Mytilus edulis: one gene and its partner. The protein of the gene in region 1 purifies or fractionates together with the protein of each later gene. This does not show direct contact. Links are inferred from orthologs where the notes say so. Each region holds a gene or a part of one and is shown on either strand. Other genes may lie near its edges. The genes, in order: ubiquitin conjugation factor E4 B-like and ubiquitin-like protein 7.

Region 1 (8,661 bases):
GGGAATATTTTTCTTCCAATGTCATTAGCACTGTTTTTACCGTCTGAATCGCCGTAATTTTCTCCGGGTCACGTAGTGACCCTATTAAATTTTAAGAAACAATGACCAAAAATCGTAATTTTCCCTTCTTCTGGCGTTTTTTGTGCCCTTTTACCCCTCTTACCTTACCCATTTTTTTAAATTAATGGTTTTGAAGTTCATCCAAAAAAACTTCAAACCTAAGGGAATGTTTTAACGTGATAAGTAGCTTTCTAAAACAGAATTTGAAAATGAGAAAATAGAAGGGGGCATAAACGGGCCTTATAGTATCTTGTCCCTTGCTGTTACAGGCGTATGATCGGAAGTATTTGTAGTGTGACTTAAAGCTATCTTTACAGTCAGTTTTAATTGCTGTATACTTTTTTATTTAACAAAAAATAATCAATTTGTAAGACTTATTTACCACCGTGATGGAAAAGAGTTGGCTTTATTGGGTAGCTATCTGGTAAATGTAATTGTTTATATTTTTGACATAGTTCGTGGTTCTGTTGTGCTGTTCTATGTTGTTTTGTATGTTCTATTTTGTTCTGTGTTTAGCATGTCGAAATATGCTATTGTTTTGTTTATTTGTGTATTTCTCTGTCCTGAGTGTTCTTGCATTTATTTGAACTGTATTCCTGTCATGTAGTGTTGTCATTTGAGTGTAAACTTTAACATTGCCACAAAAGCGTGAGGTTTGTCTAGCCACAAAACCGGGTTCAACCCACCGTTTTTTTTCTTAAAATGTATTCTTCCAAGTCAGGAAAATGGCAGTTGTTGTCTTTTAGTTCGTTTCTCTGTGTGTCATGTGTGTTGCATTGTCGTTTTTGGGGTTTTTTTTTTGCAAAATCATTGTTTCTGTTGTTTTGTTATTTTCCTCTTATAGTATAGTTGATGTGATTCCCTCGGCTTTAGTTTGTAACCCGGATTTGTGTTGTCTCAATCGATTTATGACTTTCGGACAGTGGTATTTTACTGTTGCCTTTCTTTGTGAAACCTTCAAATACTTTGTTTCATTTTCTATAATCAGGATGCAAGGGTGCATTCATATCGTCACATAGGATGATCTGGTAAATTTCTTTATATTTATCCATAATTTTTGAAATTTGATATAGTGTATCTTTGAAACTATTGTCTCCACTAATTTGGGCAGATGGCATATATAAATCAATTACTAGTAGATATATTAAATTTGGGTTACTGTCTGTTGTTAGTACTTGAATGAGATCATTCCCATCCGGCATTATATTAACTGCATTGGTCAAGTCTTTCTGCCAAAAAAATGCTGTTCCACCGGTACCATAGCCACGTATTGATGTATAGACTGATATCGGGTAATCAGTAACAAAAAGATGGTAGCCAATGAAATGATTATAAAATGACAGTGTATATAAAGTGACTACTGAACAGACCTCTGTCAACAACAATGTTTTGTATGTATATATTACAGGCATTTTCTAAATTTAGGCATTTTGTAAAATGCCTGAAAACTTTTAAGGCATTTTCTAAAATACCTGCAAGATTCAGTAATTAAACACAATGTCTAAATTATCTAGGCATTTTTCAAAATGCCTGGAAAAAATTAAACGGCATTCTACAAAATGCCTGAATCTATTTTAACATGAATATCATTAATGTGGTCATTTTATAAATTTCCTGTTTACAAAACTATAAATTTACCGAAAAACTAAGGATTTTCTTATTCCTGGCATAGATTACCTTAGCCGTATTTGGCACAACTTTTTGGACTTTTGGATCCTCAATGCTCTTCAACTTTTTACTTGTTTGGCTATATAAATATTTTGATATGAGCGTCACTGATGAGTCTTATGTAGACGAAACGCGCATCTGGCGTACTAAATTATAATCCTGGTACCTTTGATAACTATTTACACCACTGGGTCGATGCCACTGCTGGTGGACGTTTCGTCCCCGAGGGTATCACCAGCCCAGTAGTCAACACTTCGGTGTTGACATGGACATCATTAATGTGGTCATTTTATAAATTTCCTGTTTACAAAACTATGAATTTACCGAAAAACTAAGGATTTTCTTATCCCAGGCATAGATTACCTTAGCCGTATTTGGCACAACTTTTTGTACCTTTGGATCCTCAATGCTCTTCAACTTTTTATTTGTTTGGCTTTATAAATATTTTGATATGAGCGTCACTGATGAGTCTTATGTAGACGAAACGCGCGTCTGGCGTACTAAATTATAATCCTGGTACCTTTGATAACTAATTATAGAATGAAAAGTTAAAAAAAAACTCATTTGAAAGCTTTCAACAGTTTTTATATGGTATTACTGAATAGAAAAGGGTAAAGTTTAAATAATCAAGAATATATTTTACATAATTATTCCAAATTTATGACAAAATAATAGAAATGTTATACATATTTTCTGACATAGTGATGATAGATTGAAAAAGGCAACATCAGTTCATGTTTTGCAAGCTTCTAAAGTCGAATACTCAACTGAAAAAATCAGGGACATTCATTTTACTAAAAATAATACGTTTTGTGTGAGGGTGGAGTAAAGCTAAGAATGGAAATCAGGAATGTGTCAAAGAGACAACAACCCGACCAAAGAGCAGAAAACAGCCTAATGTCACAATGGGTCTTCAATACAGCGAGAAATCCCGCACCCGGAGGTGTGTATCAGTCCTTCTGCGATTTTGACATAATAATAACAAATTCACTACTGGTATTTGAATACAGAGTGAGTATGTATTTAACATAATTTCACTAAAAAGAACATAGCAAATGACATATTAACCTTCCAAGCTGGGTTTTGGAGAATAAATCAAATTTACCGAACCAATAGTTATTTTCTTTGCAAGAATCTGTGTTTTGTCCACTTTTGTCATATATGCATCTCAATGATATCCTTCTCCTATAAATTACCTGAAACTGAACAGGCAATTAGTGGAATTTTTAGTTACAAGTTTTATTTATTAATACACTTTTAGTTGCAACCATATTAAATATGGTTCAAAAAAATCAACACAAAAATCGATTTGTTTTTGCCCCAGATGACTTTTAAAATGGTGCAAAAATGCCATTTTTTGCATTGAAATTGAAATAGCTTTTATTAACTCATCGGTGACCTATAAAAAAAATTCAAACAAGCTGTACTTAAACTAAACCGTGATTTTAACAAATTAAGCAATTACTGTAAAAAAAGTTCTTTTTTTATTTCGATATTATACCTTTATTGCTCCAATAAGTTCAACAGAAAAAAGTACTTTAAAAAATGAATGCCTTTCGTAGGCAGATCGTGAGCTTGAATAGACGATGACCCCATTGTTTTCATTTTATTTTGCTATTACGTATATATTTTAAAGTTTATTTACAGATAAAATAGCGATATCCTTTATCTTAAAAAAAAAAGAGTTATGATACCCTCGAGCCCCTTAACCTATACTAGATAAATTATCCTTTAGATTTAAATCTTATCCCTGCTTAACTTTTTACTGAAAACAGTATTATCCTAGATTCGGTATGTATAAATATATAGTGTTATAAGATAAGATAAGATAAGAAAACTTTATTTTGATTCGGCATGAGTACAAATAAGCAACACAAGCTCTAAGGAGCTTTTGACCGAATATAAAAACATATAAATAACATAAAAACAGTGTATTTTGACATATATAAAACAACCTGTAATACAAAATTGAAATCTCACATACAAAGCATGCAATAAAAATAAGCAACACATTTTCGAATGAAGTAAAAACATGCTTGACCAGAGCAACCAAAATCAGCATAAATAATAAACAGTTCAAGAATTATCTGCAAGCAGAACACTGTCATTCCAAACCGTTCCAGGACTGAACAAGACTTTTAAAATGTGAAAACCTGTTTTCAGTCCTGAAATGGTTTGGAAGAATGTTCCATAAAGTAGCAGCAGCAAATTTGAACGATTTTTTACCGTAACGGGTTGACTAGCTTTACCTGTGGAATTTCAAGAATATTTACATACCTGAAAGAATATTTAGACTTTTTGACATTCACCAAATTTTGTAAACACACAGGAGCTATGTTGTTTATAATTTTAAAAGTTTCTAGAGCCATTGTTCTTATCCGTCTGATCTGCTAGGAAGGCACCTTAGCTTTAAGTAAGAGGTCCTCGTAGGAGCTGGTAAAATCCTCATACACAAAACGGAGTGCTCTTTCCTGCACCTTTTCTAGTTTTTTGAAATTTTTCTCAGTGCAAAAATGCCATGCCAAAAGGCAAAAATTAAAATTACTAAGAATAAAAGTATGAAATATAGTAAGTTTACTAAGTCTATCCAAAACAAAGCCTAAACGTTTTAAAACATTTAATTGCTGTGATGCCTTCCTACAGATTGAGCTGATATGAACATCAAAATTTAGCTGGTAGTCTATTTCAATGCCTAATAATTTTACTGTTTTTTCACATGTGAGGTTCGAATTTTGAATATACACAGATGGGTTCTTTTCAAAGGTCTTTTTGCCAACAGCCAAAACTTGAAATTCGTCAGGATTTGCTTGCATTTTATTTACCATGAACCACTCAATAAGTATTTTTGAATCCGATTCCAAAGTTGATCGAAATCTGGAGTACAAAAAGACAAGGTATTTGTCTCAAATACTCAAATGTTATTTTAGTCAATTTACTTGAAATATATTAATATAAATAAGTATTAAGATTTGTGACACATTTTAATACACGTACACAACTGTTTGTGGTGTTCCATAACAAAAAATAAGAAAAAAACTTTTATTGCGCGCTTACAAAAGGGTCTGGAGGGGGTCTGTTATTCTGTAAACATTTAATTTCAAGTCACCCCTTTTTTCTCTAATCTTTAAAAAATTAACCCCTTTATTCTCTAATCTTCAAAATATTAACCCTTTTTTCTAATCTTCATTTTATGGCCTCATTATTCTCTAATCTTCATTTTTTAAAGGGTATTATTCTTTAATCATTTAACCCGATCCAAACCCTTTTATAATATTCATCCGAGATCGGAGTATTTGAGTCGAATGTGTTTTGGGGTTCGTTATTGGTCTCTTCGGGTTTTTTTTGCTTTGTCTAAAGCTGCGAATAACAGTGAACACTTCCGGGTTAAAATGTGACGTCACATATTGGAAAAGAAGAAAACACAAAGACACTTTTACCTTGATTTAAAAATAATAAGGAACTTTATGGTAGAAAAAATCGAATCAAATATCTAAGTAGAGAAGAAATGAGTGAACTCACTCCAGACGAGGTAGATTATTGAAGCTAAACCAAAAAAAATCAACAATAAATTGATTTGTCATGATTCCTTATTTTCAATGTTTTGACCGAAATTATTAGTGAATGTATAAAATTATGGCTAATACTCTTTAAAACCCTTTGACTGTTTGTGTTACATCACATAATTATCCATTTAAGTATATTATCTGTATCTGCATTATGGAAATTTCTGTTGCAGATTAACCACATAGAAGTAGATGTAAAAGACATTGATAATGTCATAATTCATTATGTCTTGAAGATCTAATTCATTGTCCTGTGACAACTTTATTGTTGATAAATAAATGTTATCCCATAAGTGTTGCATATATAAAAAAGGATAACTCATCGCAATAGACCAAGTGACACAGAAATTAGAAATTATAGATCTCTGTATGGCCTTCAACAAAACACTAATACACTATATGCCCGCCATTACTGGACATTACATAGGTTCCAGCCAAATTTTGACATCAGAATACAAAATATCTAAAGCCACAATAAAAAGGATTTATGTGTGACATCAATAGCTAAAGTGGCACGGATTCTCGGGTCAGCCGGGATTAGTGATAGGTGTCTAATTAATGTCTAAACAAATGAACGAAACAAAATATGTAACACAGCAACAAATGACATCCACCAAATCACAGCCTCCCCACTTGGGACGGTATCAGGTCCGTTCGTGCCCAATATACTTTCGCATCCTACACGTTCGCACCCAAGGTCCATTCGCACTCTACACGTTCGCGCCCAATTTTAATTTAAATTCCAGTTGAATAATTGGAAAATCATTATTGTTAATTTTAATTACTTTGATGTAAATACTGAATGTATTTATAGCTTGGTATGAGTAAAAGATTAAATATTTTAAATGAAAAACACAAAAGATAATTGTTTTTAACAGCTTGGTCCCTTTGATCTGAAACAATGAAATAATAAAATATAGCAATACACTATTATATAAACCAAAACATGATAAAATTTATTTCATTTTGAAACAAGCCAATGAAACAAAGTTTTATAGGCAATACACTAAACAAAACATGATTAAGTGTTATTCAACAAAAAATAAAACATTGACAGAATCCCACTTTAATTAGAAAGGAATATTATTTTTTTTAACAATACACTTTCAAAAACATGATTAAGATTTATTCAACACTTAAAAAATGCTGTCTCGCTTTATTTTGAGACAATGAAATCAATTATACTTTTAGGAATACTACTTGCCAAAACTTGATTACAAATTTATTAAACACAAAACCAATAAAAATTGGGCGCGAACAGACTTTGGTTGCGAACATGTGGGGTGCGAAAGTGAAAGGGGGCGAACATGAGTGGGTGCGAACGTGAATGGGCGGGAACGGTCCCAGATTCACTTGGGACAGTCACATTCAAACAGAATGTTGTGGGTTTAAACATGTAAGTGTGATCTCAACCCTCAACTAGGACAGTCATGACCGTGGTGTAACGGTACAACATAAAAATGAACTACATTCTGTATAAAAATCAGTTGAAAAATGCTTAACTCATCAGATGGATCCATACAAATAGATCTAACACATACATGTAGTAAGCCAAGCACATGATCAATTACATCAATTTTTTTTTGTTTTGTTTCTTTTGACTTTTAACCTTTAACCTGTTAACTGAAACCATTGTATGAAACCAGAGTCAATTTCAGATTAAAATAAATGTTTTGGGATTCTTATTAACAGCTAAATGATAGTTGTATCCATGATGATATATAGGACCCAGCTAATTAAACATGGGTATTACCCACTGATGCACAGGTTTCTGGGATGGAAAATCATTTGTCCATGATGTGGAATATAGAAATATTTACATTTACTACAATGTACATATACTGACAAAATGTCAGATACATTTAGTCCAAATGACTTCAAATGTCAGAACTAAATAGTGTTCAAGTAGGTGCTGTATACTGACTACTGTTTGTGTCAAATTGTGGGTATGATTGTCAATGAGAACTATCTTTTGAAAAGGGCTTACCTCATCAAATTGACACAAAGCAAAAAAAACACAACATGCTCAAAAAGACTAAAGACACAAGTCATCGATCGAACACGGTTGTCAGTAGTAATGCAGATAGAGATCACATTATAAACAAAATAATATCTGGTTTGAGATTTAATTTTCCACTAATTATAACAGATAAGGAGAAGACGTCTGGCCAGGTTAGCAGGAAACCAGACTACCCCTCCAGATGGAGACAGGTCATCGGGAACCCAGTCTACACCTTCTAGTCAGTCTTCAGAAAGACAATCAAGTCAGTCAACACCAAGTCAATCATCATTAGACACTTCACAGAGACGAACTCTTCCAAGTAAGTCATTAGTAAATTGTAGATCCTAAATAAGTCATCAGTAGATACTAAACTAATACGAACTCTTCCAAGTAAATCATCAGTAGATACTTCACAAAGTAGACATGTTTATGCCCCTTTCGTAGTGGAGTTAAGATTTACCCTTGTCTGTAGGTCCCAAAGTTGGTTTCTGTTGTCTAACTTTAGTTTGCCTCAACCAAATGTTAAGAAACGTATACACGTATATATATACACACAATGCTTATTACCACAAAACACAGATTAAGATTGAATTTTGGTGGCATCACTATAACTTTTCTAGAGTTATGCCCCTTTACAAATGGGAAAATTGCTGAATGCCTAAAAGTAGCATACATGTATCTGCAACAAGAAAGATGAGTTTGGGAGGAAAAAACAAAGAGGTTATTCATCATGTTCATTTTTGTCAATGTATAAGAAAAGACCTGTTTTAAAAAAGATTGCATTACAAAAGTGTTTTTTCCTAACATTGTGCCCTCATATTCTTGCTTGAACACCGGTTTACGGAAATGTTTTAATCTAATTTTCAATGATTTTTTTTTAGGTACTTTAAGTGTAGACCCAATCACACCAGACTCGCAGAGAAGTATGGAAGTGGATTCAGAATGCTCAGAAAAACAGTAAGTTTGATTTAGAAAAGTATGGAAGTGGATTTAGAATGCTCAGAAAAACTGTAAGTTTGATTTAGAGAAGTTTAGAAGTGGATTCAGAATGCTCAGAAAAACAGTAAGTTTGATTAAGAGAAGTTTAGAAGTGGATTCAGAATGCTCAGAAAAACAGTAAGTTTGATTTAGAGAAGTTTGGAAGAGAATTTAGAATGCTCAGAAAAACTGTAAGTTTGATTTAGAGAAGTTCAGAAGTGGATTCAGAATGCTCAGAAAAACAGTAAGTTTGATTTAGAGAAGTTTGGAAGTGGATTCAGAATGCTCAGAAAAACAGTAAGTTTGATTTAAAGAAGTTTAGAAGTGGATTCAGAATGCTAAAAAAAAAAGTAAGTTTGATTTAGAGAAGTTTAGAAGTGGATTCATAAT
Region 2 (8,777 bases), on another chromosome or scaffold:
ATGAACTATACTTTTTTATAATTCGTTTTGTATTAATAAATATTTCATTAATTAATTTCAATCAAGACTAGAAATACTTGTGTTAAACTTTCTGTGCTTATAACAAATTCTAGCTAAAATACACCAAACGCAAATTCACTTTTAATATACGGAGAGCGAACCCATATTAAGGATAAGGTACTACATTTTAGATCTTTAAAAAAATCCCCATGAAGATTTTTTCTTCTTTTTAATGATTGCTTCTTATAAGTGAAATTACAATCAACACAAACAGATCCCACCGTTTACAATATTAGCGGGAGTTTGACGTTGCAAAGCATACGTAACCAAGCAGAGTAGTCAATGACATCATTGTCGTCCAATGAAAAATAAGCATGAAAAAGTACGGGAAAGATGATTATGAAACTATTCACCGGGGCAATAGTCTTTGAAACTATTGAATGGCAAATGGTTCTGTGGAATGAAATAGCACAACTATTTCATTACTTTTGATATAGAAAAAACACACTGAAGTATAATAATATCATTTATTGAACTATCTTTTACTTGACATGAATTATATCCTTTTCAGCAGAAAGGTTTACAACTGTATGCCAATTTTATAAAATGATGAATGACTAATGATTTTAGCATGGTCATTTGTATGTATGTTTGAAAATAAAGAGAATTACTGATTTATTAGTTTTATATTATTTTCACTAAAATAGTAAAATACCATAATGCAGTAGATCAATTTTTAGGTACTCATAATTATAATATTAAGTTCACTTCAGAAATGTTTTAGAAATTGATGTTTAGTAAGTATCATGCAAACAATTACTTTTTGTAAGCTTATGTGTAATCATGTTGGAAAAATTCTGTAAAGTGTAAATGGAGATTTTTTTTTAGTTGCAGTTTAGAAATTTATATGTATATAGAATCAGATATCCTAATAGATATTATTTGTATGCTTAAGTGTAAAAAAAATTGGAATAACCATGTGAACAGAGATTTATGTGTAGTTGCAATGTGTCTGTGGTGTTAGTCTGTTGGAACAATATATCAATGTATATTAATTACAATGAGATTTAACTAATCAAGAAACAGTAAATGGAGATTCTTACAGAGAAAAACTGTATTTATAATAAAATTAATGCTTTAAGTGCTCATTATAATGACATGGTCAACTTTTCTATGATGAACTTGGTGCATTTGTTAATAACTTGTTATATGTTTTTTTTTATTTTTTCATATTTATGTGTAAATATACAAATGTAAATGACATTGGCAAAATCTGACAACAGTAGTTGTTGTCATGTTTATATTTGAAATAAAAGTGCTGTCTTCTCATGTTCTAATTATTGTATCATACATTATCAGTCTATCTTCTGGAAACTTGGTTAAATTTACCAAAGTATCAAAACAAAGGATATGAGTCATCTATCCATGACACAAAATGAGTACATGCACAGCAACAAAAAACATGTAAGAAGCAAAGGAACAGTTCTTGTATTGCTATTCTTCATCTCAAAGTCATAGTGAGGCCTTCAACGCAGAGCAAAAATGAACTTGTACCTCACTGCACTAAGATGGGGCGGGGTCTAGCACTGGCTTGAGCGAAATTCTTGGCAAAAAATTTGGATAGACTTTGTAAGATGTAACACCACCTAATTGGGTCCAAAAAAGAACATAAGGAAAGTAGTACATATTTAAAACAAAAAAGTTCCTATGCACAGGTGTAAACCATGTAGCATATATTTTAGTAATTAAGGTATCAGATAAAAGGGGAAGGAGTGGTGATCCTTGTAGAACACTCAATTCACTGATAATTCTGAATAATACAAAAATGTCTGAATGAACTCTGAAATTGAGGACATATATAGCCTGTTTCTCAGATAAGAAGTGCCTGGTTTGGTGTATCCGAAATTTTGGTAACCAGTGCAATACAGTCGAGTATATATTAACACAAAGGTCAAGGACAGTCAGACTCGAGGTCAAAAGGCATCAGAAGTATAAGGGTTGTTTACAAGTAATACCAAACACAAAACATTTGGTTATTATATGGATTAAATTTTGAATGAGGTTATTTGATTTTTGAAGGTTTCAATCATTTTATAGGTTATTAACTGGTGATGTGTACATAGCCCCCTGTTTATTTAAAAATCTATGGCTTTCCCACATTTTGAATCATGTAGAGAATGAGGATGTGCATCAGAAAACAATTGTTTTACAAACTTTAAAATCATTTTATGTTTATATAATATGTTGATGAAGCATTCCAAAATAGGTCAGTTTCTCAGTTACTTTAAATGATAGGTAAATTATATTTGGTATTTAGGATGGTTGTTGGAGGTATTTGCCCTTCTGACTGGATTCATCTGACATTCCAATACCGGTATGCAAGCATAACCTTATTTCATAGTTTATGATCAATGTTGATCTTTTGGGATTTTACAACAGATTCCCAATAACTATGAGTTACATCTCAGTTGTATTTTTGTATAGAACCATAGTAAGGTGTAATTGGGAAAAAAATTGTATTAAATTTCATAAGTCTGAATCACTTTAACATCTAGTCCTATAATAAAAGACTGCATGTTCATATCATTTACATTTAATGTTTTTTATCAGATTTTTAGCTCACCTGGCCCGAAAGGCCAAGAGAGCTTTTCTCATCACTTTGCGTCCAGCGTCGTCTTCGTCGTTCGTCATCGTTAACTTTTACAAAAATCTTCTCCTCTGAAACTACTGGGCCAAAATTAAACCAAACTTGGCAACAATCATCATTGAGGTATCTAGTTTAAAAAATGTGTCCGGTGACCCGGCCAACCAACCAAGATGGCCACCATGGCTAAAAATAGAACATAGGGGTAAAATGTAGATTTTTGGCTCATATCTCTGAAACCAAAGCATTTTTGACGGTGGCAACTCTTCAACTACAGTACTATTATTCCTTAATTTTAACGATATTTTGCCGTTTTGGGTTATTATCTTCAATACTTTTATAGATAGAGATAAACTGTAAACAACAATAATGTTCAGCAAATTAAGATCTTCAAAAAGGTCAAAATCACCAAAATGGTCATTTGACCCCTTAAGGAGTTGTTGCCCTTTATAGTCATTTTTTACCAATTTTTCGTAAATTTTTGTAATCTTCTACAAAAATCTTCTCCTCTGAAACTACTGGGCCAAATTTAATCAAACTTAGCCACAATCATCATTGGGGTATCTATTTAAAAAATGTGTGCGGTAACCCAGCCAGCCAACCAAGATGGCCGCCATGGCAAATAATAGAACATGGGGGTAAAATGTAGATTTTGGCTTATAAATCTGAAACAAAAGAATTTAGAGCAAATCTGACATGGGGTAAAATTGTTTATCAAGTCAATATCTATCTGCCCTGAAATTTTCAGACGAATTGGACAACTGGTTGTTGGGTTGCTGCCCACCAATTGGTAATTTTTAAAGAAATTTTGCCATTTTTGGTTATTATCTTGAATACTATTATAGATAGAGATAAACTGTAAACAGCAATAATATTAAGCAAAGTAAGATCTACAAATAAGTCAACATCACCAAAATGGTCAGTTGGTCCCTTAAGGAGTTATTGCCCTTTATATAGTCAATTTTTAACAATTTTCATTAATTTGGTATTTTTGTAGTAAATTTTTACAAAATATTTTCCTCTGTAATGAAAAGGTTCAAGTTTATTATAGATAGAGAAAATTGTAAGTAGTTAGAATGTTCAGTAAAGTAAGATCTACAAACACATCACCATCACCAAAACACAATTTTGTCATTAATCCATCTGTGTAATTTGTTTAATATGCACATCGACCAAGGTGAGTGACACAGTCTCTTAAGAGCCTCTAGTTTTGGTTCATATCATTTACATTCAACAGAGGTTCAACATTGATATTAAAAAAAAAAAAATCTGATAAAAAATGAATGTAAATGATATGAACCTGCACTGCAGAGTCTTATATTATAGGACTATTTAACATCAGGAACGCTCATATCCAAATATTGAAAATGTCTATCTGAAGGTTCAATGATAATGTTAAGTTATTGGGATACCTGAAGTAAGATCTTGATTTTAAAGTTCATTAGCACAAATGCTCAATCCTTATCAGTAAGATAGATGAGACATCTGTATGTAGCAGGATGATGATAGGGTACAGAAAAATAAGAGATCACACAGAAAGCAGCATGAAACTACATACAGTAAGACTAAAGAGTGTTTAGTTTTAGAAGAAAACATGAAATTAAAGATACATTGTAGTAGGCTGAAATGAGATATTCTATTGAATATATCTATTAAACTATTTAATATAGTTGCCTATTGATTTCTCTCAGATAAATTAGGAACACACTGAACAAAATCCCTTATTGAATCATGATAACTTAAAGTATAAAGTATATGACTATCAATAGAAGAGAATATTTAATTTTAATTAATGGTTCAAATGGGATGTACAATAAAGCTGACATTTATTTATAAACACAAATACTGTATGTAAACCATATAGATTTTAATGATAACAGGGCCCAGTCTTCTTATATTAAGGTATGTACAGATCCTCTAAAAGGGGTAATTTAATAAAGAAAATCTGAAAAAGATGAATGAAAGCGGTGGCTAATTTAGCAATAATTAACTTTTATGCTTTTTAATTTTTAGTTGTTTGTCACCAGAGATAATGATGTGCTACAAGGCAGCGCTCTAACAGACTGAGCTAAAGAAGAATTTCCCCATTAAATTTTATTGTCCATAAGATTTTTTTAACAATACTGTCCATCTTTGAAAAAATATCAAATAAGGAAATTATTCTTATGTCGCCCGAATGAAACCGGTACTACAATACTTTTTTTTTAAATTACTGGTTCCTTTTTATTTACTTTGATTTTGTAACGGAGAATAGACCGTATAATACTAAACCAGTTTACAAAACAGCAATGGCGTCCCTAAAAATTTGTAACCGAACTGTACAAGGAAAAACTGACAAAATAACACTTAATTTTGTTAATCTGAAAGGCAACTCCTTGTTTTTAAAAGAGGAAGTTTCTAAAGTCATCAACTTACCTCCCTCTGACATCGGTAATGATGAGATTTCATTGTTTTGATCACATTTCTTCACTTAAATTTTCATGCTATGCCAGCCTATGCAATAATTAAAATAAATAAATATGATAAACACGGTGCCATGCTATCTAACACGCACAATAGTAGCAATTAACTGAAACCCTGTTTGGCACAACTTCAACCACAATTCACCAAATGTGGAATAATTCCATAGTCTGGCGAAATGATTACGTGTAAATTTTATTCAAATAATTATGACATCTTGAAAGGCTATAATTTGTCCTTGTAAATATTAAACAATGTAAATATGTAAGGGACACATCTCCATTAATCCCAAAATGGATTCCACTGTACCCTCGCAGCTCTCAATGGGTGCTCTGTAAACTGTTTTTGTCCCAGGTTAGGGGTCTGGGTTGGTTTCTTCAAACTAGTTTAACCCTGCCACATTCTATATGTGCTTTTCCCAAGTCAGGAGACTGTCATTCAGTTGTTGTTTGTTGCTGTTTCTCATATTTGTATAATTTTGTTTCTTGCTTTGTACATGAATAAACAGGTCAGGAATAACCACCAATTGGTGGATTATACCTCAATTGATGTATAATCCACCAATTGACGTATAATGATATAGACCAATTGGTGTATAGTTCTTTGTTTTTCAAAGCAAATTATTCCACCAAAATGGAGCATTGTTTTCTTAAAACCATATTATGGTATTAAAACTTGTCAAACATTCCTAGTTAAGTATAGTCACATAACATATTGCATTTAATCAATAATTGTATTTGCAGTTTCTTCTATTGTTATCTTGTCAATTCTTGATTGGTAAATTAACCACTAATCACCTGTCAATGGACATCAATACTGTGTGCAGTCATGTGATCATGAGTACAACTCCACAGGTGAATGGAGCTCTTTGTTAATACCTGACTTTCATTATCAAAAGTCAATCATGGTCAAAAGTACAAATGTTTTAACAAAAGAATTGTTGCACACATGCATTCTCAAGAGATGCATCAGGCTTTGACAAAACTGAAACTTTTGGAGCACTCAATAAGGGTCATAAAATAGATTGCAAGTTGCAAAATCATGCTCCTATCTCATACAAGCATTTTATTACAAAAAACCTGCATAATACGTCAATTGGTCTATACCCATATATGTCAATTGGTGGATTATACGTCAATTGAGGTATAATCCACCAATTGGTGGTTATTCCTGACCTGATAAAAGAGGGACGAAAGATACCAGAGGGACAGTCAAAATAAGGTTGTTAGTTTTAGTTTGAATTGATTTTCATTTGATTGGCTTTTAAAGCTGACATGTGATATGAGCTTGGCTCATTGTTGAAATAGGTACAGTGACCCATTGTCTTCAATATCTGTGTCATTTGGTCTCTTTTGGAGAGTTGTCGAATACACCTTTTCGCTATTTGTCCGCCATTACTGGATATCACACAGGTTCGGGACCCTAAAATTTTGACATCATAATACTAAATATCTTAAGCCACTATGAAAAAATTGATTGTTGTATGATGACAATAGTTCAAGCAGGACAGATTTTCTGATCAGACGTGAATAGCTATAAGATTGATCATGAAGATGTATTGGTAATCATATCAAATTTTTTTATGCCCCACCTACGATAGTAGAGGGGCATTATGTTTTTGGTCTGTGCCTCCGTTCGTTCGTCCGTCTGTGCGTCTGTTCGTTTCAGGTTAAAGTTTTCGGTCAAGTTAGTTTTTGATGAAGTTAAAGTTACATCAACTTGAAACTTAGTACACATGTTCCCCATGATATGATCTTTCTAATTTTAATGTCAAATTAAAGTTTTGACCCCAATTTCACGGTCCACTAAACATAGAAAATGATACTGTGAGTGGTGCATCCGTGTACTCACAAACTTGAAATAGAAAAAGGTCGTTATTTTAATATTAAACTAGAAAATAGAATATGCAAACTCTGTAATGAGGAAATAGAAGATGAGATGCATTTTCTTCTAACATGTAAAACTCTGGATAATGTTAGAAATCCCTTTCTAAGCAAAATATATAGTAAAAATAAAAATATTTCAAAACTTGATAACAAATCTCTTTTTATTTGGCTAATGGGAAATGAAGATAAAAACATTTTGATAATAATTTGTCAGTTATTAGAGGTTTTAAATATAAACAGAAATACAATATTAAATTAGATTTCTCTATATAAAATTATGTATGATCAAATATGCATTTACATAAGTTATTTCTTTTACATTTCATAAATTATTAGTATTTACTACAAGGTGTGCTGTCCAATAAAGGGACCATAATAACATACTATTGGTCATATTGTATTATATATGTTTATTATTTACAAATTGCCTACTTCATTTTCTTTAATATTATATCAATCAACCAAATCAAAATCAATCATATTATGTACTTTGTTTAACCTATTTTGAATTTACTCTACATTATGTTTGAAAATTATATTATAATTATTCTGCTCATTCTGGGCGCCGTGATTGGCAAATAAAATATTTGTTGTTTGTTTGTTTGTACTATGGACACATTCTTGTTATTTTTATATTTAGCGAATTTGTTGTTTCAGAATTGAAATACAGGCAACTTTTTTTTAAAAGGGAAGACTAAAACCTTGTGCTTGGCTTTAAGTGTCTCAAAAAATTGGAGACAGAAGCCAGGAAAATCCTGAAAAAAAAAATTCTTTCACTGAATCCCCCCAAAATAATCAGTTAATCCCAAGTCTTTATTTGTGTAAATGTGGAATTCCTGTGGAAATAAATGCACAATCCAGATACCCTTCCATTGCTAAGTATTGAATTGATTTGTACAAGAGATTACTGATAAAGAAGGACAATTAATATCATCATTAGAATTGAGGGATTGTTTCTCATTTTGTGGAATGTGTTTAATTTGATAAGTGACAACAGGAATCGCCATAAATACAACACAACAGCAACCAGCAACACCCAATCTACCCGTAAACATTCAAAAACAAATTTATGCTAACTATGACAACTTACAAATAGCTTGAAACTGTTAGGGAAACAAAATGAGATTTAAATTTGATGAATTTCTAAGGGGTCAGTACCGGTAAGTTATTATAATCATCCTACCATTGTCATGATTGTAAAGAAAGAACATTTGGCAATAATATTGCCAGGTAAAATAATAAGGAAGATTTAAAATCAGAAATGTACTATAAACTAAAAATAATAAGGAAAGTTAAAAATTAGTATTTAGCAAACATTCTGAAAAGATCTTGGATATACATGTACATACATGTATTCATGAAATTTATGATTTTTTTTCATGAAATTTCTCATTATCTTTACATGTATGTTTGATTATATTTGTTTATTTTTCAGAATTAATTTACTGTGGTAAAAAATTACAAGACAGTGAACCACTAGAGGGTGCTGGTTTAAAAGCTGGTGCTACAGTTTTTGCTTTAAAGAAATTTTTATCCGAAAAAGATGACTCACAGGGTAACTTTTCTTTAGAACATTACATGAAATGTGTAGATTATATCACATATATATCATTGCATGCAATGTGTAGATTATATCACATATATATCATTGCATGCAATGTGTAGAATATATAATTTTATACAATAGGCCCCTTCACAGTTACTTAGGCCATTTTGGAAAGGGGACAGATTTTCATAATGGATGTTAAAATGGTCTGAAAATAATGGGAAAAAATCATTGAACAGAG

Evidence for each region.
Region 2: the proteins of ubiquitin conjugation factor E4 B-like (region 1) and ubiquitin-like protein 7 purify together in Homo sapiens (affinity purification with mass spectrometry; 3 studies listed by BioGRID and IntAct, counting the BioPlex papers as one, with this or other methods). This does not show direct contact. The link is inferred for Mytilus edulis from reciprocal best matches to the Homo sapiens genes UBE4B and UBL7.

What each region holds. Positions count from the first base shown.
Region 1 is NC_092356.1:69,800,848-69,809,508, forward strand, and holds the start of ubiquitin conjugation factor E4 B-like, read left to right. Parts: upstream 1-5,097; 5' UTR 5,098-5,233; coding exon 5,234-5,257; intron 5,258-7,440; coding exon 7,441-7,612; intron 7,613-8,174; coding exon 8,175-8,250; intron 8,251-8,661. Other genes in the region: uncharacterized protein, read right to left, coding at 169-172. UniProt on the Homo sapiens protein: Ubiquitin-protein ligase that probably functions as an E3 ligase in conjunction with specific E1 and E2 ligases. May also function as an E4 ligase mediating the assembly of polyubiquitin chains on substrates ubiquitinated by another E3 ubiquitin ligase.
Region 2 is NC_092347.1:92,525,388-92,534,164, forward strand, and holds the start of ubiquitin-like protein 7, read left to right. Parts: upstream 1-4,897; 5' UTR 4,898-4,932; coding exon 4,933-5,074; intron 5,075-8,425; coding exon 8,426-8,545; intron 8,546-8,777.